7 linked regions of the Mus musculus genome follow. The protein of the gene in region 1 interacts with the protein of each later gene in a pairwise test. Links are inferred from orthologs where the notes say so. Each region holds a gene or a part of one and is shown in the gene's direction. Other genes may lie near its edges.

What was found.
Region 2: the proteins of Creb3 (region 1) and Dram1 interact in a two-hybrid assay, tested with the Homo sapiens proteins (2 studies listed by BioGRID and IntAct). The two-hybrid records come from large-scale screens. The link is inferred for Mus musculus from reciprocal best matches to the Homo sapiens genes CREB3 and DRAM1.
Region 3: the proteins of Creb3 (region 1) and Slc35c2 interact in a two-hybrid assay, tested with the Homo sapiens proteins (2 studies listed by BioGRID and IntAct). The link is inferred for Mus musculus from reciprocal best matches to the Homo sapiens genes CREB3 and SLC35H1.
Region 4: the proteins of Creb3 (region 1) and Bik interact in a two-hybrid assay, tested with the Homo sapiens proteins (2 studies listed by BioGRID and IntAct). The two-hybrid records come from large-scale screens. The link is inferred for Mus musculus from reciprocal best matches to the Homo sapiens genes CREB3 and BIK.
Region 5: the proteins of Creb3 (region 1) and Gja1 interact in binary tests that used the Homo sapiens proteins (3 or more experiments, as listed by UniProt). The two-hybrid records come from large-scale screens. The link is inferred for Mus musculus from reciprocal best matches to the Homo sapiens genes CREB3 and GJA1.
Region 6: the proteins of Creb3 (region 1) and BC016579 interact in a two-hybrid assay, tested with the Homo sapiens proteins (2 studies listed by BioGRID and IntAct). The two-hybrid records come from large-scale screens. The link is inferred for Mus musculus from reciprocal best matches to the Homo sapiens genes CREB3 and C3orf52.
Region 7: the proteins of Creb3 (region 1) and Slc30a2 interact in binary tests that used the Homo sapiens proteins (3 or more experiments, as listed by UniProt). The two-hybrid records come from large-scale screens. The link is inferred for Mus musculus from reciprocal best matches to the Homo sapiens genes CREB3 and SLC30A2.

Annotation. Positions count from the first base shown.
Region 1 is NC_000070.6:43,561,205-43,565,457, forward strand, and holds the start of Creb3 (cyclic AMP-responsive element-binding protein 3), read left to right. Parts: upstream 1-1,453; 5' UTR 1,454-1,608; coding exon 1,609-1,755; intron 1,756-1,845; coding exon 1,846-2,002; intron 2,003-2,076; coding exon 2,077-2,147; intron 2,148-2,264; coding exon 2,265-2,354; intron 2,355-4,056; coding exon 4,057-4,163; intron 4,164-4,253. UniProt on the Homo sapiens protein: Endoplasmic reticulum (ER)-bound sequence-specific transcription factor that directly binds DNA and activates transcription. Plays a role in the unfolded protein response (UPR), promoting cell survival versus ER stress-induced apoptotic cell death.
Region 2 is NC_000076.6:88,322,304-88,326,075, reverse strand, and holds the end of Dram1 (DNA damage-regulated autophagy modulator protein 1), read left to right. Parts: intron 1-649; coding exon 650-742; intron 743-1,290; coding exon 1,291-1,335; 3' UTR 1,336-3,272; downstream 3,273-3,772. UniProt on the Homo sapiens protein: Lysosomal modulator of autophagy that plays a central role in p53/TP53-mediated apoptosis. Not involved in p73/TP73-mediated autophagy.
Region 3 is NC_000068.7:165,281,339-165,284,838, reverse strand, and holds part of Slc35c2 (solute carrier family 35 member C2), read left to right. Parts: intron 1-556; exon of another isoform or gene 557-581; intron 582-1,235; 5' UTR 1,236-1,470; coding exon 1,471-1,590; intron 1,591-1,905; coding exon 1,906-2,056; intron 2,057-2,694; coding exon 2,695-2,758; intron 2,759-3,458; coding exon 3,459-3,500.
Region 4 is NC_000081.6:83,525,408-83,529,661, forward strand, and holds the start of Bik (bcl-2-interacting killer), read left to right. Parts: upstream 1-1,454; 5' UTR 1,455-1,529; intron 1,530-1,709; exon of another isoform or gene 1,710-1,840; coding exon of another isoform or gene 1,841-1,934; intron 1,935-4,254.
Region 5 is NC_000076.6:56,375,993-56,380,099, forward strand, and holds the start of Gja1 (gap junction alpha-1 protein), read left to right. Parts: upstream 1-1,307; 5' UTR 1,308-1,526; intron 1,527-4,107. UniProt on the Homo sapiens protein: Gap junction protein that acts as a regulator of bladder capacity. A gap junction consists of a cluster of closely packed pairs of transmembrane channels, the connexons, through which materials of low MW diffuse from one cell to a neighboring cell.
Region 6 is NC_000082.6:45,651,319-45,655,618, reverse strand, and holds the start of BC016579 (TPA-induced transmembrane protein homolog), read left to right. Parts: upstream 1-1,500; 5' UTR 1,501-1,577; coding exon 1,578-1,718; intron 1,719-4,300. UniProt on the Homo sapiens protein: Has a role in LIPH-mediated synthesis of 2-acyl lysophosphatidic acid (LPA). LPA is a bioactive lipid mediator involved in different biological processes, and necessary to promote hair formation and growth.
Region 7 is NC_000070.6:134,349,546-134,353,045, forward strand, and holds part of Slc30a2 (zinc transporter 2), read left to right. Parts: intron 1-2,405; coding exon 2,406-2,540; intron 2,541-2,837; coding exon 2,838-2,983; 3' UTR 2,984-3,500.

The DNA of each region.
Region 1 (4,253 bases):
TTCTTTGGGTAAAAGAGGCCTCTGTAACTGCACAGGAATAAGAGAACTCACTACAAAACAAAGGTAGCTACTTCCTGCCAACTTCTTACATTTTACCAGCTCAGCTGTAGCTGCAGCCTCAACCCCTAACGCTATCACCAATTCCTAACATTAATGCTGACTTTATTTCCTATTTCCCTATACATTGACATTCACCCCTTTCCCAGAAGACACCCATACTAATCTGGCTTTTATTTTTAGGCCCAAATCCCCCAAATTTAACCCTAAATACTCCCTCCCACCCCACCCTGCAGTTCTAAAGCTCATTTGTAACTTGGTTCTTAATTAACCTTTTCACTGTTTATTCTTAATACTGACCATGACACCGGCCTTTAATCCCTAAAACGGGCATCTAAGCCAATTCCTGTTGATCCTTAACCCGATCCTGTACTCTGACTTAATGCTGGTCATTGCAGAAAATAATGACCTCAGTTTAAATGTCACATATGCGAAACAGACTTGACTCGTGCAGCAAATGTTTAGAATGTAGTTCACCTTCTTAACTTCTAAAGGGATCCTTGCTTCCTAAACGCGACGGCACCTAACCCAAACTCACCCCAAGTTTTCCTAACCACTTACTCACTATCGGCTAATACCAAAGCCCATCCCCGCCCAGTGCCTCACTGCCACCCAGTGCCTCACTGCCACCCCATTTCTACCCGTCCCCAAACCTAGCCGAGACAGAGAACTGTCTACCCCCGCGAAAGGGCCTGCTTCTCGCAACAAGGCCAGCTTAATTCCAAATCCAAACCGAAACATACTGGACCCTGACCTCCCTAACCAGACACAGGATATGCAGGAGGATTGGGGGCCCCGCCCGCCGCTTCCCGGGCTGGCCCGATCCCGCAGCCCCACCTAGAAGCTCGGCCCAGCCCGTCCGGCCTACCTGCGCTGCCCGGCTCTGCGCCCCGCCCTGGGCCCGCTACCCGCTCCTTCTCCCGGTCGCTTTTGGGGCTCCGGCCTCGCCCTCCCTTCGACACACTCTCGGCCACTTCCGTCCTGGAAACGTCCCCCACCCGCCGGCGGCGCCCTGGGCCCGCGCTCTATGGTAGCGGAGACTGCAGGAAGCTGCTCTGGCCGTAGTTCTCGATGCTCGGGCGCCCGCGAAGCCTGGCCGCCCCTCCCCAGCAGGAAGCGAGCGTGCAGAGCTCTGGAGAGAACGCCCGAACTAAGCTGGAGTTCCCTTTTAAACGCTTAAGTTTTTTTTTTTAATAGCTCGAGGCGAAGGCGGACAAGGATCCTCAGAATCCCCGCCCTGGGGCGTGGGAAGCTTGAAAGGACGTCCCCATAATTTGCATAGCCCCCGGGACGTGGCGCAGCCCAGGAGCCACTTCCGAGTTGGAGAGAACTCCAAGTCCCAGGATTCCACGGGGCTATGTGCACCACTTCCGTTGTGTTGGAAGCTGAGGAATACAGAAGCTGAGAGACGGGTGCGGTTTAGAGTGACAGCTAGGCCCTTGTCCCGGAGTGACGGAGGTTAAGTCGAGCCGACTGGACAGACTGAGGGGTCGTGCCTGAGGTTCGGAGGTTGGATCTGCGCGGAGGGATTTCTATCCATAGATATCCCAAATGGATCCTGGTGGTCAGGATCTGCTAGCTTTGGATCCCGGTGATCAGGACCTGCTGGGCTTCCTGCTAGAGGAAAGCGGAGATTTGTGGGCTGCGACTGAGCCGGACGTGAAGGCTCCGCTGGACTTAGAGCTGTCACCTTCCGAGGTGGGTGGGTGGGTGTTCCCAGTGGGGGAAGCTAGGGATGTCCGCGAGACCCAAGGTACGGAAATAAATCAAGGCCTTTGAATTTGATAGAACTCCGTGCAAGAACTGAGCGACTGGGAGGTAGAGGATTTACTGAGCTCTCTGCTCAGTCCCTCAGTATCGCGGGATGTTCTCGGCTCTTCCAGCTCTTCCATTCTCCATGATCACAACTACTCCCTTCCACAGGAGCACGTCTCCATAGATCTAGGTGAGTGTGAAATGATAAGTTGTGGGGGAGGAGAGAGCTCACTGGGCTAGCTGGTTCTACTTTCCCTTTTGCAGATACTGAGAGCTTCGAAAAGGAGGGGTTCCACGTGACTCCACTGCCAGGGGAGGAAAGAGCAGCGGAACAGGTGCTGGACTTGATTTTTTTTTTCAGGATTACCTCACTTTGCAGCAGCCAAGATCCCCCATACTGCTCTGAGAGCTCCATGCAACTCTGCTCTCTTCACTATTTCCTCCATCCTTAGGAGATGTCTAGGCTGATACTGACCGAGGAAGAGAAGAAGCTCTTGGAGAAGGAGGGGCTCACTCTGCCCTCAACCCTTCCTCTCACTAAGGTAAGGCTCCTGTTGGTAGAGCAAAGGCTGGAGGGGGTTGGTAACCCAAGTAGGCAAGCTCAGTTTGTTTCATATCAATCACTTGCAAAAGGACAAACCAACTCCTACAAGTTCTCTCATCTCCAAACACACACCCACGTCAAAAGATAATGTTTTAAATGTAACTTTAGTACAGAGCCTTGAAAGTGAAGGGCCTTGATAGCTTCCGTTGTTATCTTGGGACCTCGAATCATACTCAGTGGTAGAAATGCTTGAGAGGCTGACTCAGTCTAACAACATCAACAATCGTCAAAGCTGGACATGATGGTGCACCCCTCTATAACCCTAGCACTCTGGAGGCAGGAGCAGGAAGGTCTTCACAAGTTCAAAGTCACTTCCCACGTGCTGGGATTACAAGAATACTGCATCTAGTTTTTGTGGCAAATTTTTTTAATGTCATTTGCCTTTTTAATATTGTCTTACTTCTGATATGTAGATATTTACTTATTTGGGGCAGGTGGATCAGCATTAACGGACAGACTTAGCTTCATGTTGAGTTCAGGCAAGCTTGGGCTATGTGAGAAACCATCCCCTATCCCTCTATCACTATTACAAGATGAATGAGCAATATATTGGGAGGAAAGGAAACGGAACTTGGAAATTATCAATAGTGGTTCTGTCCCTAGGATAGTAACTGTCTTGTCTTCCTTTACACTGGCCAGAGCATGCCATAATTCCCCTACCCACTGGGATTGGAGTACAGTACCTCATGAATGTTCATCAATGCTCACTGCTGAGCCACGCCCTCTGGCCCTTGTTGTTAAGGCAGGGTCTTGTAAACCCAGGCTGGGCTGGCCTCAAACTATGTAGTAGGGAAAGAATGCCTTTGAATTCCTGATTCTCCTGCTTCTAACTCCCTCGGACTAGATTACAAGTGTATGATGTCACTCTTGGCTAGTGTCCAAGTTTGACAGGCATTATCAGAGAATGTAAGAGTTAACTTTATTCAGTTTTAGTTTCTGAAAGAAAAAAAGTTGAAAGTACCTTAAGATAAGGATATATTCTATATCACTTTAGAGACTCTAGGAAAATCAAATGAATGGAAATTATAAGAAGATTGATGTTGCTTTAGGATAAGGGTAGATGTTGTTGTTGTTAGTTTTGAGACATGGTCTTATGTAGCTCAGTCTGTCCTCAAAAACTACCCTAGCCAAGGATGGTCTTGAAATCCTGACTTCCTTCTTCTGCCTCCCAAGTGCTGATACTACAGGCATGTACAACCACACCTAGCTTAAGTGGAATTTTTAAAATTAATTAGAGACTGGAAAGATGATTCCGTGGTTTAGAGTACTTTCTGCTTTTCCATGGGGCATGAGTTCAAGTCCCAGCTCCCACATGGCAGCTTACAATCCGAGGAGATCTGACACCCTCTTCTAGCCTATGTGGGCACTAGGCACACCCATTATACATATACGTTATACAGACATGCAGGCAAAACACCCAAACACATAAAAAATAATAAAAAGTCTGGCTTTCTAGTGTTGAATATCTGCTCCTTGGTGTTCACACAGAAGGTAAATGCCTACTGACAGAGAGGCTGTGGAGAGTATTTGATTGGGAAGAAGGTTAGCTGTCTTCCAACATACCTATGTAGTATATATAGGTATAACATACAGGCATATAATAACATACTGTGGGTGACCTTTCCCCCATCTTCTCTTAGGTGGAGGAACAAGTTCTGAAACGAGTGCGGAGGAAGATTCGTAACAAGAGAGCAGCTCAAGAAAGCCGCAAGAAGAAGAAGGTGTATGTCGTGGGGCTGGAGAGCAGGTAAGCAAGGATGGACACGGGGGAAGCCTGGAGGGTCTTGAAGGGAGGAGACACAATATTTTGAAATCCACGTGTCCTCACATCCATGTT
Region 2 (3,772 bases), on another chromosome or scaffold:
TCAACCTCCACCTGCTTCATCGTTTCTCAACTCCAGACGCGGCTGGCTCCTGGCATCCTTTGTCTCCAGAGCCATCGGAAGCATGATGGGTCTCTTGCTTCTGGCATTTGCTCTGCTGCTGTATTTGCCTTATTGTGCGAATCAGCACTCTGCAGAATCAATACCCACAGTAACAGAGAGGCATAAAAACCTATCGGGGTGCCAAGCTGGTCTTATGGGTGTGCACACGTTCATTCTAGGACGATCCCTGGGAGGGAGTACCCTCTAGACACTTCAGCGACTCCTTCAACTATGGAGTTCCCAGGGCAGGGAAACAAAACCAAACCCTTTCTTCACTGCGGTCCAAATTTACCTTGTGGTCTCAGTCATTGTGTGGTCCTTAATTTTCCTTTTGAAGTTCCCTGTAGCTCAAGTCTTCAAACTAGAAGTGAGAGCTATAGAGAACTTTGGCACTGCTTGAATTCCTATCAACCGCTGACTTAGTCTCTGACCTCTGGGCTGCAAGGATTTGCATCTGAGATTCCCTCAAGGTTACAGTTTGTGTTCATTGGACAGTTTTGTCTTCTGGTCTGATTATCTCGTATTCCAGGTGATGTTGCTCCGATGAGGTCGTTTTGACTAACTCCTGTATCTTTACTGTTGCTATTAGGATTATATATATCACGTGGTGAGCGCCATCTGTGAGTGGACCGTGGCTTTTGGTTTTATTTTCTATTTCCTAACATTCATCCAAGATTTCCAGGTAAGGACTTAATCAATTCAAATGTTATAGGAATCCCTGGTGATTAGGATTAGTGAAAATTTAGAGAAGTTCTTGATTTTTGAGAAACATTCCTTTTTTACCCTTATAATATGTTTGGGTGTCGTGTGCTACATAACATTATTAGCTTGCTTTCAAAAGTGGCCACATTAGGCACACAGGTCACTTCACCATTGAAACTTTCATGTTATTTGCCATTCAATGCTCAAAGTCCAGGCTGTGTTCAGGTAGCCCTCACTAGTTCCAAAGACCAGAAAATATGATCATGAAAAAAAATTATGTTGTTGAAAAACATTCCTAAGACCCAGGGAAGGTAAGACAGGATATTCAACCCCAGAAAGATTCTCACCTCCTAGAACAAGTGAATTACTGGCTAAAATGATAAAGCCAAGAGAATCCTTCAGGACTCAGTCCAAGCAAGGCACGGTAGTGGGAGTCCCCTGTTAGGTGGGAGAAAGCGTCTGAGAATGGCATACTTAATGCTGGAATTGTTTCCATCTTTGATGTTCCCCTTCCCACTGCCTCTGTAGAGTGTCACTCTAAGGATATCCACAGAAATCAATGACGACTTTTGAAAGATCGAGAATCCTGTCTCATTCAGGGAGTGTCGCAGACAGTTTCTGGAAGTGGACAGAGGACGGACGGGCTTGGATGTCACCCTGATGGGGACTTTATCTGTGGCACATCCGGGACTTGAATTTCATTAAGAGTTCCTAGTAGTTCAATTTACAAAGGTATGTTTCCCTGGAGGATGGATAGCACCAACGACACTGTAGCAATATTTTTATATTTTCTAAAACAATCTTTTATGAACAAATTCATATGCAAAGAAGACGAGGCATTGCAGAAAGGGGAGGATTATTCTTGTATAGATTCTTTAGACTTTTTATGTAATAATGATTTATGAAAATACACTAAGAGAAAAAAATGTTAAGTTTAGTACTTTTTATTAAAGAAGCCAAATCAGGGCATATTCACTTTAAAATTTCATTTTTTAAATACAGTGACCTGCATACATTTTCATCACAAGAGCACTTATACAATTCAATTCATAGTGATTATATACCCTAATGGTATAGATTTAGGTAATAAACGAACACTTTAAAGCACTCTGAATTTTCAGTGCATTAAACAAATGCTTTTATAGTGAAGGACTCAAAACCATTTACAGTGCACATTAACCAGCGAATGTGGAAGACCTCGGTTCGAAAATTTAGCCCCCTCATTTACTTCTCCAAGGGACCCACAGCTTTACTGCCGCTGTTAATGGTGGGCCCGGGAACTAATTCCAGGTAGGATGGGCTCATCAGGCCAGCTTAGAAATGATCAAACTGCCCTTCTCTGTGACCGGGCAGCACAAGTTCAATTCACTTCTCAGTTTCCCTGTAAGCCAAAGAGAATGCAGATCCAAGTCAGGGAGAAAGGAGAGCGCTCATAGAAACTTCCAGATGTGGGCTGCTGTTTATCTGCTCCTATCAATGCCTGTGGGCCACTATAAGGGAGTCAGGCCCTTTCCGAAGCAAGGCCTGGAGACTCTACCTTTCATGCAGTTCACCAATGGCAAAGAAACGCCAGCTGTTGTGGAGGAAGAAGTGGATAACAAGACCCCCCAGTCTGGGCCAGTAGGAGCTGCCCCAAGGGCACGTTCCAAGGACAGAGACCATTTGGACAGCCTTAGTGAAAGGGTACCTGGCGATGAAGGGGCACACAGCAGTGCCTCCTTTGGCTGCTAAGTGAAGGGTGCTGCTCAGCAGGCACTTCTGCCATGACATCCTGTGTCTTCTTCCTCAGTGTGCAGTGGTGGCAACCAACGTCCATTTCTGAGTCCCCTGTAACTTTTCACAGTACCGAACATGCCCATTGTAACACTGGAACAGAAAGACAGTGGCTGTCATTCTGATGAGTGAGAGAGGAGTCGATACATTTCCTGTGGAAGCTGGGGCGGACTGAATGCATGCTGTTCTTTGCTTTGAGCGGGAGCCTTGGTTGATGCCTTCCCAGAATGCACTTGGCTCTCTTCGCTTCCACTGGAGACCCGACCACGTGCCTTTACCCATAGTGGAACACAGTGCCTTGTGGCATGCAATAGGTGCTTAATAAATACTCATTGAATGTATGCACGCATAAATGGATGAACAAGTAACGACTAGGGATGTTTGAGGTGCTAAGGGTTTTTTTTACTCTAGTTCACGGGTATTCTAAGGTCAACAGCTAGTCTGTGCCAATTAGTAATGTTGTCTGTTTTGCTTTGTGAACTATTCTCGTTTCCACCTGTTCCAGCTGTGTGAGCTTCATGATTGTGTGACAACTCTCTCCTGGACAGATAGCACAGAAATTGTTACATGGGCTAAACCTGTCTTGGCAAACCGAGGAGGCCCCCAAATCACACTCTGCAGATTCCATGCGACTTCTAGTTTTATCCCTGTTTTGGTGTTATTTTTAATTTCTACAAATATGTATTTCCTTGGACTTTGTACCCGAGAAAGTAAAATAAAATATTTCTTTATTTTAGTAATTTGTCTCGGTTGCATTATAAGCCGTCACCTGGGGGCTGTTGTGAAGTATAGTTATCTGGGCTGGTTCTGGATTGCTCGATGTTGGTTGTAAGGGTAGGGCTTGACCTGGGGAGATGACTCAGTGGTTGGGATCGCTCACTGCTCAAGCGTAAAGGCTTGAGTTTGACTCTCTAGCACTCATATAAAAGCCGAATGTGTCAATGGACCCTGCCACCCCAGTGCTGAGAGGGGACCGGGAGTCGGGAGGATCCCCGTGGCCAGCTAGTCAGGCAGCCTCGCAGAGAAACAAGAGAGCATCGGGTTCAGGGAGAGGTCCTGTTCCTAGGAAATAAGACAGTGTGATAAGAAGCTGACACCTGATACCCTCTGGCCTTTGCATGCACACATATGTGTACACCCCAGATACACAGAGATAGACACACACAAATAAAGATGTGGCTTAATCCTTGTCTTTTCTTAGTTCACGCAGTGTTGTATGTGGACAGGATCGGCTCAT
Region 3 (3,500 bases), on another chromosome or scaffold:
CCAGACTGGGAACTCTTCCACTTGGGCAGCACATGTGGTATTCTTAACGGTTTCAGTGTATGGCAGAGCCCTGGAAAACAACGGTTGCTGAAACCAGTGGCCGGCCCTGTGCCTTTGTAACTTTCAGATTCCGAATGCAGAATCCTTCTTAGCCTTTATAGTCCCTGCTCACTAAACGCTGGGCGCCTCCTCCAGGTCACCACTCAGGGTTCTAAGGTCCTCTAAAGATAGCCACAGTCCAGGAGTCCTTTGGGCAAAGCCCACAGCCAGCCCAGTTTACCCTCAGGGAGGAGATGTGATAACAGGTTCCAGAGTGCAGAGTGGTCTGTCCAGCCTGATCGGGGAAGAGGCCAAGCTCAGGGTTCTGGAAGGTTCCCAGAGAGCTGGCATCTCAGCTTGGTGGGGAGGAAGCACCTGTAGTACCCCCGAAGAAGCAGATGTCTAACAGTGGGCCAGGGCCCACCCATGCAGAGCCAGGCTTGCCCTGGGCACTCAGTGGTGTTGCTGGGCTGACTGACAAGAGGTAGTCTGGTTTGGCAAGCACCCCCTCTCTGGGAGTAGCCGTTGGAGACCAGGGCAAGGTATGGCTGATCCACCTGAGGTCCTAAAGACCTGAAATCCCATACATGCTCTCTGTCAGAGAGTCATCAGACTAAACGGGAACATAGAGAAGGCCAGGTGTGCATGCAGCCCTCTTGGAGTGCAACCTTATAAGCATTACACTAGGGGACGGGGTGTGGCTCACAGGGATCATGGCCCCAAGCCTCAGGCCCTGGGTTCTGACCACAGCACTAAAAAGAAAAAAGGTCTATCTACTCAAATCACACCCCTTGAGATTGCTACCAAAAAAAGGCTCTGGAGGAAGAGAATTTGTACTGAAGTGGCCGCATTGACAGGGATGGAAAGGTGGGTTGGGTGTGGTGTTCCCTCCGTCCCTTCTGGGAACAAACTGGCAGAGACAGACTAGACCAGATTAGACCTTGGACCTCCAGGCAGGGCTTTGGCCTTGAAGGCCAGCTGGGAGCTGCTAAAGGTCTGGAGCAAGCTGACTGATGAGACCTCAGTCAGCTGTTGAAAGGTCCCATGTAGTGGGAACACGTGGAAGACAGTTTGAATGTACACTAGAGCCTCAAGTACCTACCTGGATGGGGGTGGGACTCATGATCTCTGCAGTCTCATGGCAACCAGAGCTGGTCTGTAGCCACACCACCAGACCCTGCCTCTCTTCTCTCCAGCAGTAGCGCTGGGGACCTGTGACCGCTGCATCCAGCTAACCATGGGACCGTTTGGCTCTGGCCACCAGCCCCTTAGGTGAGGACTCCATCAAGGGCCCACTGCCCATTCCCCATCATGGAGGCCGAGAGGATCCTTCCAGCCAGGGGAGCTGCCCTTTGAAAACCGTGGTCGAGTCCTGCTGGTTCTCCCTGCCAGCCACCTTCAAGAGAGGCTCCTGTTCCTGCTGGCCCACGGATGGGGAGGTGGGCCCTGGACGTCGCCTTTGTGTGGAAGGCAGCTCTGACCCTGGGCCTGGTCCTTCTATACTACTGCTTCTCCATAGGCATCACGTTCTACAACAAATGGCTGACAAAGGTAACCAGACCTTGCCAGTGCAGGGACCGGCACTAAGGTGGCTGTAGTTGGTACAGCTGTATTGGGTGATGGTGGCTTTTCCTGGACGCTGGTCCCGGGCGGGATAAACAGGTGGCTAGCAGGGGTGGCGGTGATGAAATTGGACAGGAAGTGAGTCCCTGGGCTGCCACTTCTCTGTGTGACCTCCACAGTGGGGACCAGCCACTTGTTCCAAGGGGTCATGCAGGGCACAGGATTGGCCCCTGCCACCATAGGGAGGAGATAGAGGGGAATGTGGCATCTCTCCACTCCTGCTGTCGTCTTTGGGCTTCACAGAGCTTCCACTTTCCGCTCTTCATGACCATGCTGCACCTGGCCGTCATCTTCCTCTTCTCCGCCCTGTCCAGGGCACTGGTTCAATGCTCCAGCCACAAGGCCCGGGTGGTGCTGAGCTGGACGGACTACCTCAGAAGAGTGGCCCCCACAGGTAGGTCCAGTGTGGGGAGGGCTGCTGGAGAGCCTAGGATAGAAAGCAGAGGCCCTTGTGGCCACACGCTACCTACCTCCTCTCCTCCCCACCTCTCTCCCACGGCCAGGTCTCAGCAAAGCCGGCAGTTGCCCTTGTCTGGCAGTTGCCCTTGTCCGTGCTGGCTCACATGGGCCTCAAGCGGGCTCCACCAGACGCAGAATGGGGGAGCCTCACCCTGTAACCATGCTAAGTTGGGCTAAAAGATTTCCTAGGACTAGTGTTGAGTGGGCAGGACTTGAAGAGTGGATGGGGACCTCTGACCCTGGGGATGTGAGGTCGGAAAGGGAGCTGAGAGCTCGGCTGGAGGGGGAAAGGAAGAAGGAGGGTTAGCAGGCTGGGCCAGTGGAGGGCCAGGTGCCCCTCGAGCCATTTGGCAGGATCGGGTTAATCCTCTTGCATGGAACTGTTTAGATTCTCTCGCAGAGGAGACTAACAGGCCTAGCCAGTCAGGATGGGCTCCAGCGCTAAGCAGGACAGCCTTTGGCTAGGGGTTGGCCTTGAATTGCTTAGTGGAAGGGAAGACAAACAGGGCCTTAGGTGTCTAAGCCTTATGCTTGCCAACTGGCTGCCCTGCCTGGGTGTCCCTGTCCCCACAGCACTGGCAACAGCACTTGACGTGGGCCTGTCCAACTGGAGCTTCCTCTACATCACTGTGTCCCTGTGAGTACTGACCACACCCTCTGCCCCCTTCAGGCCAAGCTTACTCGCTCCTTCCAGCTGGCAGGCTGCACAGCCAGCAGTGGACCAGCTCCTCCGCCACCCCCAGGGACCAGCCCCCCCCCCCCTCTCTCTCTCTCTCTCTCTCTCTCTCTCTCTCTCTCTCTCTCTCTCTCTCTCTCTCTCGGCCCCTCCCGAGCACCTGGCAGCACTCCAGGCAGCTCTGCTAAGCCCAGTGCAGAGAGATAGGCTGCACCTGCTGGCCAGGCAGCAAGGGGAAGCCAAGGGATTGGACAGAGATGCTGCAAGTTCTTGGCAGGGTGGGTGGGGGATGGGGATGGGAGGAGGCAGGCAGCAGGTAGGAGGACCAGGCAGGGGAGCGGGTGAGGGTCAGAGATCACCTGTCTGCAGTCACAGCCCTGATGTCTCACGTCAGAGAGTGCAGCCCCTCACTTCTCCTTGTCCAGGTTTCTCTCATTCTTACCTGGTCTCTACCACCAACCAGGTAAAGAACAGACCGAGTCAGCTTGGTGTTAAACCCCCAGTTCACCCTCCAGTAACAGTCAGGGCTCTTAGAGACTTCTTCCCACAAAAGGTGACATATCCACGCAGACCCCACTGGCTGGCTCCTTCCAGTCTCGGAGACCTGGTTGCCCTCGGGTGGGCCTGCCGCCATGCATTGTGGGTATCTGCTCTGCCCCAGGTACACGATGACCAAATCCTCTGCTGTGCTCTTTATCCTGAT
Region 4 (4,254 bases), on another chromosome or scaffold:
CAGCCTGGTGGTAGTAGTGGTTGGTGCATGCTTTTAAACCCAGCACTAGGGAGGCTGGGGCTGGCACATCTCTGTGAGTTCCAGAAAAGCCAGGGCTACACAGAGAAGCCCTGTCTTGAAAAAGCAAACGAACAAATAAACAAACCCCTCCAAATAATGAATTCTTGCTATATTGCCCGGAACCTACCCAACTTCCTAGTCTCCCCAGCGGCAGGCCGTTCAGGGATTGAGTCACTGTGCTAGCCTCCCATTTGATCAGCCTGTTGCCTTGGGGATCTTGCAGGCTAAATATTTTCACTCACCCCCTCCCCTGGGCCCCTAAGTCCCCATCTGACCTCAAACTGGCCTCCTTCCTCCACCTTGTCTACTGTTTACAGAACGCATCTGCTGACCGGTCAGGTCTTTCTGGACTGTGAGACCCCTTGTCACTGCCTCTCTTCTCTCAGTCTCAATTTTCTGCAAATTCATCTGCAAAATGTATTGGCAGAGAGGCTTCAAGGTCCCCTGCCCCCAACTCCAGGTTGTGACAATCCCTGATGGCTAATGGCCAAAGATCAGGGTTCAATTTGCTTCTGGGCTTGGAGGTGACAGAAGGACCACAGAACTGGAAAGATCTGAGTGGCAGGATTGGAAGGCCTCTAAGATTAAATTCTGCCGAGGACCTTCTAACATGTGGGGGGAGGGGCTGCCTTCCCGTGTCAGGAGAAGATTTAAGGAACCCCAAATATCACCACCCCTCTCCTGACAGGAGAGGGAAGAGTCCAGCTGACTACTTGACAAAGCACGCAGTAGGAGGCACCTGCCCCAGATTCTGACCTCTGCTATCCCGAGAGGAGCTGACTTGGGATAAACAAGTTTTGTTGTTGTATAGATAGTGGTTACTTTGTAATTCGGCCAGTGCTCCATCTTTACTCACCTCGGAGCCCCTGCTCCAGGGCACTGGAGACTGAACTCCTCCCACTTCACCTGTAATTCTAGATTTCACCTCCTACCGATCCTCTCCTTCACCCTAAGTCTTCGCCAAAAGGAGGGCTGGGAGAGCTCCCTATACACCGGGAGAGAAGAGAGAGGGGAAAGGGGGAGATTTGGAGGTGCAGTGCGGAACTTGTAGCAGGCGGGAGCAAAGGGAAGCCACAGAAGCACCAAGCCTTTAGGAGTACTATGAGGACCAAGTAGACAGCCCTTGCTAAGGTTTGGCCGCGGCGATGGCAGAGGCGGCGTCTGCGGAAAGCACACTCGCAGACGCACTGGCGGGGACACAGTAGCAGGTCTACAGGCGACAGAGGAATGTCTGCAAGCTAACGACTTTAAAACAGGGGTTCTGTAGCTACTTATTGGGACCGGGGATTTGGAGCCCCGGAGGGAGGAGTTAAAGGGGCGGGACGGGGAGGGCGCGGCCACCTATCAGGGTCCAGCCCGCCGCTCACAATAACCCGCCTCCAGCCAGCGCCCCCGACTCCGCCACCGGCGTCCCAGCCGAGAGGGTGTTCGGGCAGTTCGCCCGCCGCTACGCCAGCTCAGCTTGGCAGGTAAGCGTCTTGCAGCCCTAGCCCAAGTTGCTGGAAAGTTGGGGACCCGTGCCCAAATCCCTCGGTGGCCCCGGCTCTGAAACGTCCCCTCTGCGTCTGACACCCCAGAAGGTGCTAGTCTGGTCCGCGTGTCTCGCTGTGCGTCCATGCACTGGGGTGGCCCTTGTGTCCTGGTTCTAGGGCGCGCTGAGCAAGTGGCCTTCGTTGTCGCTGTGCCCTGGTTGTCGAAAACTTAGGGGGAGCAGCTTGAGACCAGGGCGCGGCACTGCCACAGTAGGGCGGCCAGGCTGAGCCCGGGCCGCAGGCGGAAGATGGCGTCGGCACCTGTCTCCGCGAGGACCGGAGAGTTCGCATCTGTCCCTCCCTCGGGGATCCTGGGATTCGCACCGTCCCTGCCGCGACCTGGTAATTCACACCTGTTCCCGACAGAATCCAGCTTCGCATCTGTCCTCTCTGGGACCCGGGGATATAGGTCTTCGAGGGGCAGCAGAAGGGCCTTCTTAGGCGACCTGGGTAGTTCAGACCATCATTTCCCCGAAGCTCCTAGCCACCTGCCTGCGCCCAGGCGCAGGGACTGGGAGTGCATCCGAGGGGCCGGCAAGGTCGCCGGTGTACCAGCCACAACCAGCACTGGGGGTTCAATACTTGTGTCACTTTTCCACCTTGTGGCCTTCAGGATGCGGATGCAGGTTGTTTTATAAACTTAATTGCTGTTCTGAAGTGTACTGAACCACCCCTACAAAGTGTTGTTTATTGTTGTTGGCGTTGATGCAGGTGATAACACTGTTACAGGGGTTTGGAGCCAGCTGCAGCTCTCAAGAAGGCTGGTCTCCTACCTACTTTGGGGGATGGGGGAGTTGTCAGTGAACCTTAATTTTAACCTCAGGGAAGCAGGCCTCATTTCAGATAGGCTTATGTCCCAACAGCTACATAGAGCTGGCTCCTTCAAAGCCTGGAGGGCTTTCTTAGAGGCCACACCAACCTCTCTACCTGTGACCTACTTTCTGTTCTGACTGTGTAGCTTTCTACAGGCTCCTCCACCATTCTGGACCTCAGTTTGTTGAGTTTGTAAACTGCGTTGTGGTTTAGCCTGGTGGGGAGGGACCTTTCCCAAGAAGTGGCTGAGTAGCTCGGCAATGCTACCTTGATTTCCACTAGGTTGGGGCATGTTTACTGTTGCTCCTTTACAAGTATACACCTAAGGGTCACCTGGGGTCCTTGGCTGCTTTTGGATCTAGTGTCCTGCCTAGGGCAGGTGGCACTCGTGACCTCCCAGCCTTGCCCCTCCCCACATCTCTCACTCCACCCTGCCAATTTTCTCCCCTCTATACTCCAGGATTTGAGACTTTCTTTGTTTTGTTTTGAGGCAAAGTTTCATGTAGCCTAGGCTGGCCCCCAGCTCACTATGTAGCTGAGGATGGTCTTGAAACTCCTGATTCTCTTACCTTCACCACCTGAGTTCTAGGATTCCAGGTATAGTTACTGTATCCAGGTTATTTGTAGCTGGGGATGGAACTCACAGCTCTGTGTATACTACCATTGTTTTCTTAAGTAAGGCCTCACTATGTAGCAGAGGCTAGCCTCGCATTCTCAATCCTTCGGTTTGCTTCCCTAGTGCTGACTTTTAGTCTGCTTTCTGTTGCTAATAAGATACAGTGCATTGGGTTGGGTTATAAAGAAGTAAAATTTATTCTGGCTTGTGATTCATGTGGGGTTGAGGGCCATCTTGGGTGACTCCCTTTTGTTGGCAGAAGACATACATTGTACATTTTACCCACCTCTCAAAGGTCCGGCCTCTAAACCCCACAGTGAGGTTGAGTTTCCCCTTTAAATACCTCACAAGGGGATTAAATGTCAACACCCCAATCTTTGGAGACCCCCAGGTCATATCTAACTACAGCGCCTCCCCTTCAAAGTCACAGAGCTGCTGTTTCTCAGTTGTTCCTCCAGAGTTAGGTTTTAAAGGTTGTCTGTGCTTTGCTCTTTTTCTATTTCGGAGACAGGGTCTCACACTTTATAGCCCAGGCTGTCTTTGAACTCTCAATTCTCCTGCCTCTGAGATCCTGGGGTTATGGGTCTTTATTGCTTATTTTTTAACTTTCTTAACTCAAAATGTGCACCTTTGCCAGAGGATGCTGGCTCTCATCCCGAGCTGGAAAACGCAGTGTGTCATTTTTCAACTTGGTGACAGGCTCATTTAACTTATCTTCTAAGCTGAACCCTAGTTAGCATTTTAAAGTTAGCTAGATCTGTTTTGTTTCCAGATCTGGGGATGGGACCCTGGGCTTTGTGTATTTTAAGCAACAGGGGGCCAAGAAGCAAGCAGGCCGCCTGGCTTACTTGGGGCATGGGATGCTGAAGGCTCAGTAAAGGGTCTAGGTAAGAGCCCAACACCACCAGAAGGAAGGAAGAGGATGGGGTCCACCTCCCAGAGGAGCCCAGACAACTCTAGTACTTCCTCCTCAGGCTCAAACATTCCAGAGCATATGAAGAACGTAGAAGCTGAAAGGGGAGGAGGTAGCTTGCTACTCTGGCCTTCTGTGATGGAGCTACTCTCCTGTCACAGTTGATCCTTTTTTGTAGCACTGGGAGGTTTATAAGGGGTCATCGGAGTGATACATCCCTGGCCTTTCATCTTCTGATGTCTTTGCTCAGTTGACATTTCTCTGACAACCCCTCCATGTCCACCCTTCCTGACATCTCACCCATTATTTGTTCTGTCCTA
Region 5 (4,107 bases), on another chromosome or scaffold:
TCTGTAACATTACTTCCCTTCTTTAAGTTAAAGACAAAGGAACCTCAAAAGTAAGAGAACATGCTGGGGTCTTAAACTGTGAGGTTTTAAATGGCACTCCCTTAGTCATCCTAGTGAGAGGGTGCTTCGGCAGGAAAATGTTTCCCAGGAAGTCTTCGCCATCCTTTGTTCTGCTATTTACATTAGTGTGAGACGTTCAGCTCCATCAGGTGATGCCTATACAAAGGCCTAACTCCAGGAGCGCCGCTGAAGCCTGTTTATCGCCCTATCACAAGCCCTCGTGGGGGGCATCTGGGAACCCTCAAAGGAGCTGCCCACCCTAGGAATGAGGTCATATGACTCAGGCTTTCATAAACCCCATCAGGTATGATGAGAGAGGCATGAAGCTGTGGGCAGGCAGTCACCAGGCCCACATCTCTTCCCTGAAAGTGCTTCCGAGGGACAGGATTGGAAGAGAGAAAGAAGTTTTGAGACAGGCTGTGTCTGGCAACTCTGGTCTGCAGCGGTTAGAAGGAAGAGGAGGAGGGGGACAATTCTGGCATCTCCCTGCCGATTTAAATGTTAAATTGTAGGCATAAAAAAGACTAAGATATGGATCTTCACTTCCTTGGAGATTGGGTTGAGGTCCTATCAACGTTTCAGACAAGAGTTACATACATGATATATTATTTTTATTCATAGTATAGAACATGTATCTTCTTGTTGTTAATTAAAAGAATAAGGAAAACTACCTAAAGCAGCAGAGAAACTGAAGAGTAGACATCCCACTCCACGGGTCTGGTTGTGAAATGCCTTTCCCATGCCCACCGCCTCTTTCCTTTGTTAATTGTCCGGGTTTAAGAGGAAGAGAATTAGGTCATAAGAAAGATCACTCACACCCACCTCAAGCTTCACACACCTTGGGCAACCCAGAACAAGTCTGCACGAGTTCACCTTGTCTCCCCCCCCATTTTTATTTATTGTAATATTATTATTATTATCATTATTATTTAGGAAATGTGACCTAAAAGGGACATCTTCTCACTGCCCGTGGTCATCTCCTGAAGGAATGACCCATCCAACAGTTTTTTTTTTTAATCTGTGAGGAGTCACAGCCCCGCAGTAGCTGACGTACATCTAGAGCTATTTCTTACTTTTTTTCCCCTTCTCGTCAGCACATTGAAACTACAACTTTATCTTGACCAGGTTGCTTCTTCTGCCTGCTCAGCTCCACGCTCGCCAGCCTCCACTCCACCTCCTCCCCGCCTTTTCTTCCTCCCTCCCCTTTCTCCTAGCCCCTCCTTCCAGTTGAGTCAGTGGCTTGAAACTTTTAAAAGCTCTGTGCTCCAAGTTAAAAAACGCTTTTACGAGGTATCAGCACTTTTCTTTCATTGGGGGAAAGGCGTGAGGGAAGTACCCAACAGCAGCAGACTTTGAAACTTTAAACAGACAGGTCTGAGAGCCCGAACTCTCCTTTTCCTTTGACTTCAGCCTCCAAGGAGTTCCACCACTTTGGCGTGCCGGCTTCACTTTCATTAAGTGAAAGAGTAAGTTTTGAAAAAAAGAAAAACCCACTTTACCTAGTAGCGTCTCTTTCTGTAAGGGAAACTCTTCTATGCTTTGTAAATGCGTTGCGTCTTTGACTTAGGATACTGTAAGTAGAACGACGATCTTCAAAGTGCCTTTGTCATTTCCACGTGCTGAGTTTGATTTGGGTTTGTTTAAAAAGTTCCGCTGAGAGTGCAACAGGTAAAAGGCTCAAACTTTTTCCAACTAGAGTGAAGGAAGGACCAAGTTACTAAACTTAGTTCTTTGTTATGGAGCCTAACTTCACTTTTCTGTAGTCGCCAATGGAGAAGGTGTTGCGGGGGTGGGGGTGATGGGGGGGCACCTCAGTCAACTTTGCTTAGCCTGCTTCCTATAGTGCTGGACACTACACGCTTCTTTTTTTTCTTATGAAAATCCGGTCGCCTGTTCTACTGCCTTGAAACTGCAGACTCCTTTTGTAACAGAGTGCTTTGTTGAGACGCTGCGGCAGCAGTTGACTTCCACGTGGTTCTCTCTTAGACTTTTCAGGACTAAGCCACTAAATACGTAGACCAGGGTGCTGCGGTTAGAGTTTTTAGACCAACAGTGGGTACTTTGTGCAAGCCTGTGCGATGCTACGGGATGAACCTCTTAGCCTGCACAGCCAGCATTTTTTTTTAATACTCCACGCTGGCAACTCCGGGCGCGAGAAATCTTGAATGGGTGGTGGTGACTTACGGAGAGTTAGAGGAAGAACGGGCGTTTAGAAACAGTGTGTGCCAGGTTGCTTTTCCAAAATCAACTGCTAGAACGCGAGCTCCTAGAAGGAATGGGGAAAAGGGATTTTTAGAGCTGCGCTTTTAGAAAGAGCTGCCCCCTCTCCACCCCCAACTCCTCCTGCGTGCCCGGACTTGTAGTGACTTCAGAGCTGTTAGGACAGTTTTGAATTGGAGCCATCAGAGGGTGCAAAGCACTAAGCAAAAATGATGCTAACGTGCAGCTTGAAGGGGGTCCGTCTTAAAGCTTTTATTTTTAATTGGTAACACATTCTGTAAAGCACTTTGACCGGCCTAAATCCACACCGAAGTATCAGGGTGGGTCTGTATTGAAGGGCTTTTTTTTCTGTACCAGACCAGGCCGAGTCGTTGTGAAGTGAAAGCTTTAGGGCAGAGGATGGCACGGGCCCCTCCTGCCCAGTCTTAGCATCATCACGGGCTCCGTTCGCGCTTCCCGCAGCCTCCCAGCTTCGCGGTCCAGACGGCTGGCTGCGGAGGGGGGGAGGGGAGGCCAGGCTCGCGGCCCGACGGTCAGAAAGCAAGTGGGCGACTTTATTAAAGTTGTCAGTCTGAAGTCCCCCGCGCCCTCCCAGTCGCCTTTTCACGGTTTCTCTGCCTAAACTCGTCGGGTGGCTGAGTGGAGCCCCTGGGAAGGTCCCCTAAACACCTAGGGAGTCCCGGTGCTGGTAAATGCACTTGTAACACTCCTGGAAACTCTTGAAATTCCCCAAGAATGAGGCGGGGCGGAAGAAGGAGGGGCAAAGAAGACCCTTCGAGAAACCCTGCCATAGCTACTGACGTGTGCTGAGGCAAATCCGTTCAGGATTGGGAAATTCAAACCTTGACTTCCGAGCAGAGTTCTCCCCGTGAGTGCCCTCGGATCCACCCAACGCTCGCTGGGCATCTCTGGCAGAGTCTTGGTCGAGCACCCCGGGAGACAGCTTCCCTTCCCCTCCCTCCCAGTGCTGGGTTTCGGGTTGGAAGAGGAAAACTTAAAACGTACAGGGCAGCCTTTGGAGGTGGATTTGATTCCTTTGTTCCCCAAGCCAAATAATAATGACTGGAAGGTAGTGAATCTTACCAGTCCAAAAGACCACTGGGCAACCTTGAACGGTCAGTAGTGTCCCATGAGGAAGCCTGGGGTTCTTTTTTTCTTTTTTTTTAATGAGGATTGCTGAAAATAAAAGTCTGTAAAGTAAAGTATGCTAATGAGGACGTATACTACCTGAGGAGAGGGGTACTACTAGTTAATTCTGCTAGGTAGGCCAAGTTGTGTTGAAATGTTAGTTACAGATTGTATGGTGTGTCCTGGTGAGGTGTTGAATTCTGAATTACTGGAATACATCTATCTCCCCGGTGTGTGAAAACTTTGCACACTCAGAAACGGGTGCAGTGGCTATCTGTCTTTTGTCTGGTGTTCCAGGTGGTAGTGGTTTGATATTCCACTGTCTAAACACATTATATATATATATATATATATATATAATCTTCAACATTGCCCCATCATTCTTTGAGGTTGGGATTCTTCTATTGCTGACTTTACACGGGAAATTTGGTTCTAAAGCCAGCCACGAGAAGGGAAGGCTGCATTTCCTTCCGCATAAGGAGCAGAGCTTGGTTGCTTAGCTGTTTCCAAATCCCGCAGAGAGAAGGAATGGCACATACTCTGCCTTTATTACGGTATTGCAGAGGTGTAGCTCTTGTGAACTGTAGAAACTTTGTATACCCCGAGGGAAGGGAACTATAGGAAAGTCACCCACTGATTAATACCTGAGACTCCACCTTTCCTGTTGTTCTAACTTCCCTTCAAGATTCGGTTTGACTT
Region 6 (4,300 bases), on another chromosome or scaffold:
TTGTTCTCAAAGCCTCGTAATGCATGGTTTGAATAGCTGTAAGTCTATAGTACTTGCTCAGCCCATCCCAGTTCTTGATTTATCTTAATTTAGAGAGTGTCTCACTCCATATTAGAACCGTATTTTTCCTGTCAGAGGGCAGAGTTAACCGTAGCACCAAACAAGTAAAATGGGATGAAAAAGAATTTCAAAGGAGAAATAGTAACACTATATTAAACAGGACTCAGAGCACTGCACAGAACTGTAGAGAAAGTAGAATTGAAAGGACAGAGAACAGGAAATGTTATTTTCCAAATTAGTAAAAGTGATTGGCAAATTATGACTACCCTGTGATAATGAGTATTTCCAGTTCATAGTACTTAGTTCAATTTTCTAAAAACACTTTCTTTGGGATTAAGGATAAACATCACAATAACAGCATCTCTCTGGTGACTGGTGATAAAACCCAGGGGTAGGGCCATATACCTGGGCTGAGCCCCTAGCACTGCAAAGAAAAGAGATATTTCCAAATATTTCTGGAATCCTCAAACTGGTCTTAATAACTATCTATGTGAGAGGAAGGAAATGGGGAGAGGATGGTGGTTCTGAAAAGAAGGTTTAGCTAGAGGCAAGATCTTTGGACCAATACCCAATACACACTTTGCTTTGCAAACGTAATTCCCGGCTCACTAAGCCAGTTCTGAGCTGTGCATGGGGTGTGGAAGGCATTGTATGCTTCCTGACACATGGGCCTTTTCTTCAGGTGCGGTGTTCATGACCCCTCCTCTCAAAGATAAACAATAATCAGTAAATCAGTAATGTTTATGAATTTTTGCTTCTGCGAGTCACTGTCTTCTGTGCTGAGAAACACAAGCGTATGAAGAACTCACACAGTGCCGATTGCCCTTACTAGTCTAAGGGATACTGATACTGCCCCTGTGCCTGAATCAGGAGGGGCGTGGCTGCTCCTTTCAATGGAGAGCAAAGCCATAGAGGTAGAGGTAGTGTATGAAAATTACTTCGGGGCTGTGTATTATTCATCTTCGTGTGTTCGGAATCAAGCATGCTGCCTGGCACACGGAAGATGATTCATAGCTGTTTGTTGATTTGGTAGATGAGCCCTCGCTAGACAGTGAGTACTGGAGTAAGTTTCAGCATCACACTGGTCCAGGTAGAAGGCTGGAAAGTTTCCGGAACCGCACCCTCCCCCGTCCCCCAACACCCTCCCCACCCAACCCTGCCTATCCCTTCCTTGCCACAGTCCAGCTTGCAATCAGGCCCTGTGAGCTTCTGCGGTCTGCATCCACACGGAAAGGCATTGCAGCTAGCACCCTGAACAAACCTGAAAAACAGCCGGTCCCACTTGCATCTACCTTTCCTGAGCAAGGTCAGCTAACCAAAGCCGGAGTGCTTCCACTCTCTCTGGCTTCGCCCCTCCCCTCCAGGTCCGCCACCGCAGGCCTATCTGGCGCCGCCCGAGGTCTACCTGCCGCGCCTGGTGGGTGGAGTGTGAGCTGAGTAGTCTCCCTGTGCTGGACTCTGCACCCTTAGGTGCTAGAGTCTTGCCTCTCAGCGGAGCCTCCGTCTTCGGCGCTGCCATGGAAGAAGGGTCCAGATCCCAATCGCCCCGGGAAGAGCTGGAGCTCTCGATGCTGGACGGGCCTCAGGAAGAGCTGACACCTCTCAACAATGACCTTCGGATCCAGCCTAACTCCGCTGAGGACCCTAGCCCAGCCCAGGTAAGGACTTAGGGTTCTGGCGTGACAGCAGGGAAGGGGCCTGGCACCACTTAAAGGCTCCAAAGCGTCCTTCCAGCGCCCAGGACACGCAAAGAAGGGGAGGTTAAAGAAAGCAAGAACTTTTGGAATTTCTTAGATCAGACCCCTCCATTATGAGACTCGGACCTCGCCTAGAGACTTCAGGAATCCTGTAGAGGGGCGTGGCTGCTCCTTTCAATGGAGAGCAAAGCCTTAGAGGTAGAGGTGCTGTTTGAAAATTATGTAACTTTTAACTTGTTTTTCTTTCCCAAATAAAAATAGAGTGATGGATTGAATCATATTGTCTCTCTCCCCGTTCGCTTCTCCGCTTTCTCTCTCTCCCCTTTCTCCCTTCCAGCACCCCACCACCACCTCTAGGGGCGTGCAATCCACTGTCTCCTACCTTTAACCAGCCCTATGTCCTCCGCGCCCTCCCCCCACCTTCAAACACATTTTGTTATCTCCCACTTTGGCCACTGCTTCCTCCAGAAGAAAAGCAGGCAAAGAACACGAGGAGGAAAGAGCTGCTGCGTCCAGACTGAGGGTTGTGAACTGTTGTGAACTTGCCAGCTTAGTACAAGGGAAATACTTTCTAAGTTCTACCTAAGAACTAGCCTCACTGTCTTTTCATCTCTGAGGAAGTCCTTAAGGGTGTGTAGGTTGAACCCTTCTCTGATATCATAACATTACTCACAGATCAAATACTTGTAAAACATCAGAGAGTTTGAATGCTGAGCCACCTGTCTTCTCATCAACTCCAAAGGTTTACTTGAGTTTTACTGGGCACACTCAATTTTCTGGACGCATTGTTTTAGCCTGGTTTTTCTCACCCCACTCCACCCCCATCCCTCTTGGGCTCAAGTTCTGACTTTAGTAGAATTCAAAGCTCGAAAACATTACTCTTGGTCCACTGTGATTCCTGAAAACACTGTGTGGCAATGCCTTATTTTATGAGTACCCTGGAGTCTAAGTTGGCACCTTCTGTTTGTATGAAATAAGACCACAGATGAGTGAAAATCGGAAGGTAATGCCTGAAGGCCAGTGCAAGAAGCCATAATCAGGAACTTTCTGTATGATTCTCCAGGGCAGAGCCTGGGCAGGAGAATTAGAAATACTTACCTCAAGTTAGTCAGGCCCAGTACATCCCCAAAGATTGAGACATTCTCCAGGGGGGAAAAAGTGTTTGAGCCCAGAGACGCTGTGAAACAATCTTAATGTCATATGCTCCATTTATGTGAAACAATGTTAATACCATATGCTCCGTTTAGGCCCTGAGAGCCCTAGAGAACAGTTGAGAACACGCCAAATCCATACCAGGTATCAGAATCTTACATTTGCGTAGCACCTGCTTTGTAAAGAATAGGCTTCAGTGTCCTAGTGACTTCCTTGTTAGTCAGACGTATGTAGATGTGCCAGACTTCCTTGTAATTTGGCGTTGTAGGTGTCTAAATAGGAAAATTTCAATAACTGATAGAATGGGGTGAGGGTAGAGAACCTGAAGAGCGTTCTAGAAATACTGGAATGGTAGCACTTTACTGAGAAGAGAGAGGACAAAACCTCAAACCCTTCCCTAGCATGTTCATCAGTCTCTGACTCTAGAGAATAGGTTGAAATGTGTTTCAACATGAATGGTCAGTTAGTGACGTTCATTCAGTAAGGACTGGTTAGCACAAGCACATGGTCTATATACTTAAAATTTTTGTGTCCCCATCTTAAGTTGTGTGATAATAGTTCTGACTTTTGTTCTTATTTAAGTCCATACACTTTCCAAAGCATATGTTTTGTACCTATTGCTGCTATGTGCAACTGTGTAACACATCAATGCAGCTAATTATTAAGGGTAGAAGGAGCTGCCCTAGTTAGCATGAACTGTCAACTTGAGACAGCAAAAAATCACCTGACAAGAGTCTCAGTTGAGTAACTGTATCAGGTTGATCTGTGGGTATGTTTGTAAGGGATTGTCTTGATTATCTATTGATAAGGGAGGATCCAGGCTACTGTTGGGGATATCATTCCTGGACGGGTAGTCCTGGGCTATAAGAAAACTGGTTCAGCATGAGCCAGTGTGAAAGCTAGCTAACAGCATTCCGTCATAAATTCTGCTTCAGATTCCTCCTTGAGGTCCTGCCCTGACTTCCCTCAAGGAAGGCCTCTGACCTAGAAGTGTAAGCCAAATAAGGAAGCCCTTCCTTCCTTCTTCCCCCACCCCTCCAAGTTAGTTTTGTTCAGAGTGTTAGGTCATAGGGACACAGATAAAAGTGGAAGAGGAGGGTGCTAGTTTTCTGGTTTGACAGATGAAATAGCTGACTGAAGAAGCTGAAGCTCCAGAGATACAGCCCAGCAGCTCAGGGTCACTCAGTGGGGCCTTCTAAAGTTCAGACTCAATGACTTTCAATGTCTCAGGTCTACATTGTTCATCAGTTTTAAGAAAACATTACTTTGATTTCCTCCTCCTCTCTCTCTCTCTCTCTCTCTCTCTCTCTCTCTCTCTCTCTCTCTCTGTGTGTGTGTGTGTGTGTGTGTGTGTGTGTGTGTGTGTGGTGTGCGCATGGGCCATGATGTAC
Region 7 (3,500 bases), about 91 Mb from region 1:
TGGTGTTTGTTTGTTTGTTTGTTTGTTTGTTTCTGAGCCAGGGTCCCACTGTGTAGCTTTGGTTGTTGTCCTGGAACTCACTTTGTAGACCAGGCCGACCTCAAATTCACAGACATCCATCCGTCTGCCTCTGCCTCCCGAGTGCTGTCATTAAAGCTCTGTCAGTATGCTCACCTCCCTCCCAGACTTTTTTTTTCCCTCCCAGATTTTTAAGATAGTGTCTTAGTTAGGGTTTCACTGCTGAGAACAGACACAATGACCAAGGCAACTCTTATAAGGACAACATTTAATTGGGGCTGGCTTAGAGGTTCCTCTGATAATGGTTCAGTCCATTATCATCAAGGCGAGAACATGGCAGCATCCAGGCAGGCATGGCGCAGGAGGAGCTGAGAGTTCTACATCTTCATCTGAAGGCTGCTAGCGGAATACTTAACTGGCTTTCAGGCAGCTAGGATGAGGATCTTAAAAGGCCACGCCTATTCTAACAGGGCCACACCTCCTCCTAATAGTGCTGCTCCCTGGGCCTAGCAGAGCATATAACAAACCATCTCAGATAGGGTCTCACTGTTTAGAGCAAGCTGGCCTTGAACGCACACGTTCATCTGCCTTTGCCTCTGCCGTGCTAGGATTGAAGCTGCTACCATACCCACCTCACTTTGGTTTTTAAATTACAAGTTAGGGTCTTTCACTGAACTTAGAGCTTTCTCAATGCTGGGCTGGCCTGCAAGCCACCTGGGTCTCCTTGTCCTTCATCTCCCACCCAGCTCTAGGGTTACTGAAGAGGTGTGTGTTTGTTTGTTTGTTGGTTGGTTGGTTGGTTTGTTGGTTTTGCATTGGTGCCGGGCACCTGAACTCAGGCCCTAATTTCACCCACTGACCCTTCTCCCCAAAGCTGAAGCTCTCTAATTAGACTAAGCTGACTGGTCAATAAGTCCTGAGGAATCTGCCTGTCTGGGATTACAAATGTGCACTATTGTTTGTGTGTGAATGTGTGTGTTTGTGAGTGTGTGTGTGTGTGTGTGTGTGATTAGTGTGAGTTCTGAGGGAATCTAACAGGTATCCAGCACTGTTGTTACCAGCTGAAGTATCTCCCCAGCCCGACTTGGGAGCTTTCCCTCAACCTGTGGCTCACGAAGTCTAATCAGCCTCAAGGATGGTGTGGATGTTTGGAGAACTCACACTAGAGTGGGGAGCTAGTTCCCAGCTGAGTCGTAGCCAGTGCTTATCCCACCCTTAGCCCCATAGGCCCAGGGCTGCCTCCTCCCTCTGCCGTTTGGAATGTGTCTTCCTTGGCTGGTCACAAGACTGAGAGGCCTTGGTAACACCTGGAGTTCCAGCCACCCCTCCCCCAACAGTCATCAGGTGGTTTTTCCACAGAAAGACCGGGATTCGGGTGTATTTTAGGATCTTTGGTTTTCTTTGGGGGGCAGAGTTTGCAATAGGACCTGGCTGGCCTGGAACTCAGTGCCAGGTTGGCCTCAAAGTTTGCCTCCCAAGTGCCAGGCTGAAAGCATGCACCACCATACCCAGCAACTCTTTAAAAAGATTTTACTTCATTTTTGAGACAGGATCTTAATATGTACCCCTGGCTGTTCCAGAACTCACTATGTAGCCCAGACTGGCCTCAAATTTACAGAGATCCACCTACCTTTGCTGTCTGACTGCTAGGATCAAAGGGTGGTGGGAATCGAACCTTGGTCCTCTGGAAGAGCAGCAAGTGGTTCCAATCTCTCTAAGCCCTTGGTTTTGAGACCAGGTCTCTATGCCTTGGCCTCCTGAGTGTTAGAAATAGACATATGCCCTTGTACTTGTTGGATGAATCTATCTCAGCTCAGCCCTTTCCCACGGGTCTCACGGACTGCATCCTGTTTGTGCCCCAGCTGCAAAGTGGTAAATGGTCTTCCGGAAACCACCTCAGTTCACCGGGATCAGGGACAGTTGGAGGAGTGGGGCTCAGGCCTAGGATTGATTGGCAGGGGCTCCAAGGCGAGGCAGTCAAAGCATCCAATGTGACTGACCTTGCTGCGCCTGGTGGGGTCACATCTGTAACCCCAGCAGCTGAAGCAGAACTTTCCAAGACCAGCCTGGGGGGGCGGTGTACATAGCAAGACTCTGTCTAAAAAGCAAACAGATTAAAATGAAAATGGAAACATGGTTCTGCTCTGGGCACTGACCTTCTAGCTGTGAGCAAGACAGCCTTCTGCTCTCAAGAGTTTCCGTTCTAGACACAGATCAGTTAAACCATTCCAGGGGCTGTCCCCTGTAACAGGACAGAGTGGGGGATGGGAACCACGTGGAAACTGCTGGCTGAGGAGGCCTTCTGAGTAGATGGCCCTGGAGGAATGGGGTGGGGTTGGGGGCGGGGGGGGGGCAGCGACCTTCAGCATTGTTCTTGATGTCCTCAGGGACTCCCAAAGGCGTGGACTTCACAACCGTGAAAAATCTCCTGCTGTCCGTGGATGGGGTGGAAGCCCTGCATAGCCTGCATATCTGGGCGCTGACAGTGGCCCAGCCGGTGCTGTCTGTCCACATAGCCATTGGTGAGTAGAGGTAAAGGAAGAAGCGCAAGGCCTGGGGCTGTCCAGGAGGGTTTGCCAAGCTCTGACCACATGCTGAGCGTTTAAATGCTCTTTGATCCTCCCCACTGCATTTATAGGGAGAGAGAACTAAGGCCCTGCTTGGGGTGGTCAGGTCCTTGTACTTGCTGTTGGGTGGGGGAGACAGATTCCAGCTCTCAGGCTTGCTGGATGCGGGACACCCCCTAGTGTCTCTTGTCCCCTAGTCTGTGCCCCAGGGGTAGACATGAGCCCAAGCATCCCGTGTTTCTCTCGTCCCAGCCCAGAATGCTGATGCCCAGGCTGTGCTGAAGGTGGCTAGGGACCGCCTCCAGGGGAAGTTCAATTTCCACACCATGACCATCCAGATTGAGAAGTACTCTGAGGACATGAAGAACTGCCAGGCGTGCCAGGGCCCCTTGGAATGACTCCCCAGCCAGACACCGTCTCCTCGGAAACACGGTCAGGACCTGTGGGTAGAACTGTCCGGTGTGCAGCCGGGATTCCAGCAAGGCACAGCCTGGACCACTCCACGGTGGGGCTCTCCTTAGCCTCTCTGAGCTCACAGGATGGGGACACGGCAGATGAGGCCCCACTTCTCTTCCAGGATGGTGTTTGGGCAGGGTCCTGAACTGATGTCATCCTAACACCACCGCTGGAGAGACACTGAGGCACAGAAAGGGATTTGGGGGTGTCCTGTATGATCCAGGGTCTCTGTGTCTGAACCAAAAATTGAACAAGATCCATGTAACACGTGACCGGGTTGTCCGGGGGGGGGGGGGGGTTCCCTTGGCAGGGTCGGTCTCATTGATAAAAGAACCTGGAGCTGGACTCAGGAGGAAGATCTGAGGCTATTTTATTAGAATTTGGGAGAAGGAAAACAAACAAAACAAAAACCCACAGTCCAGGCAAGCCATGAATCTCGGCAGCTACTGAAGGAAAGTG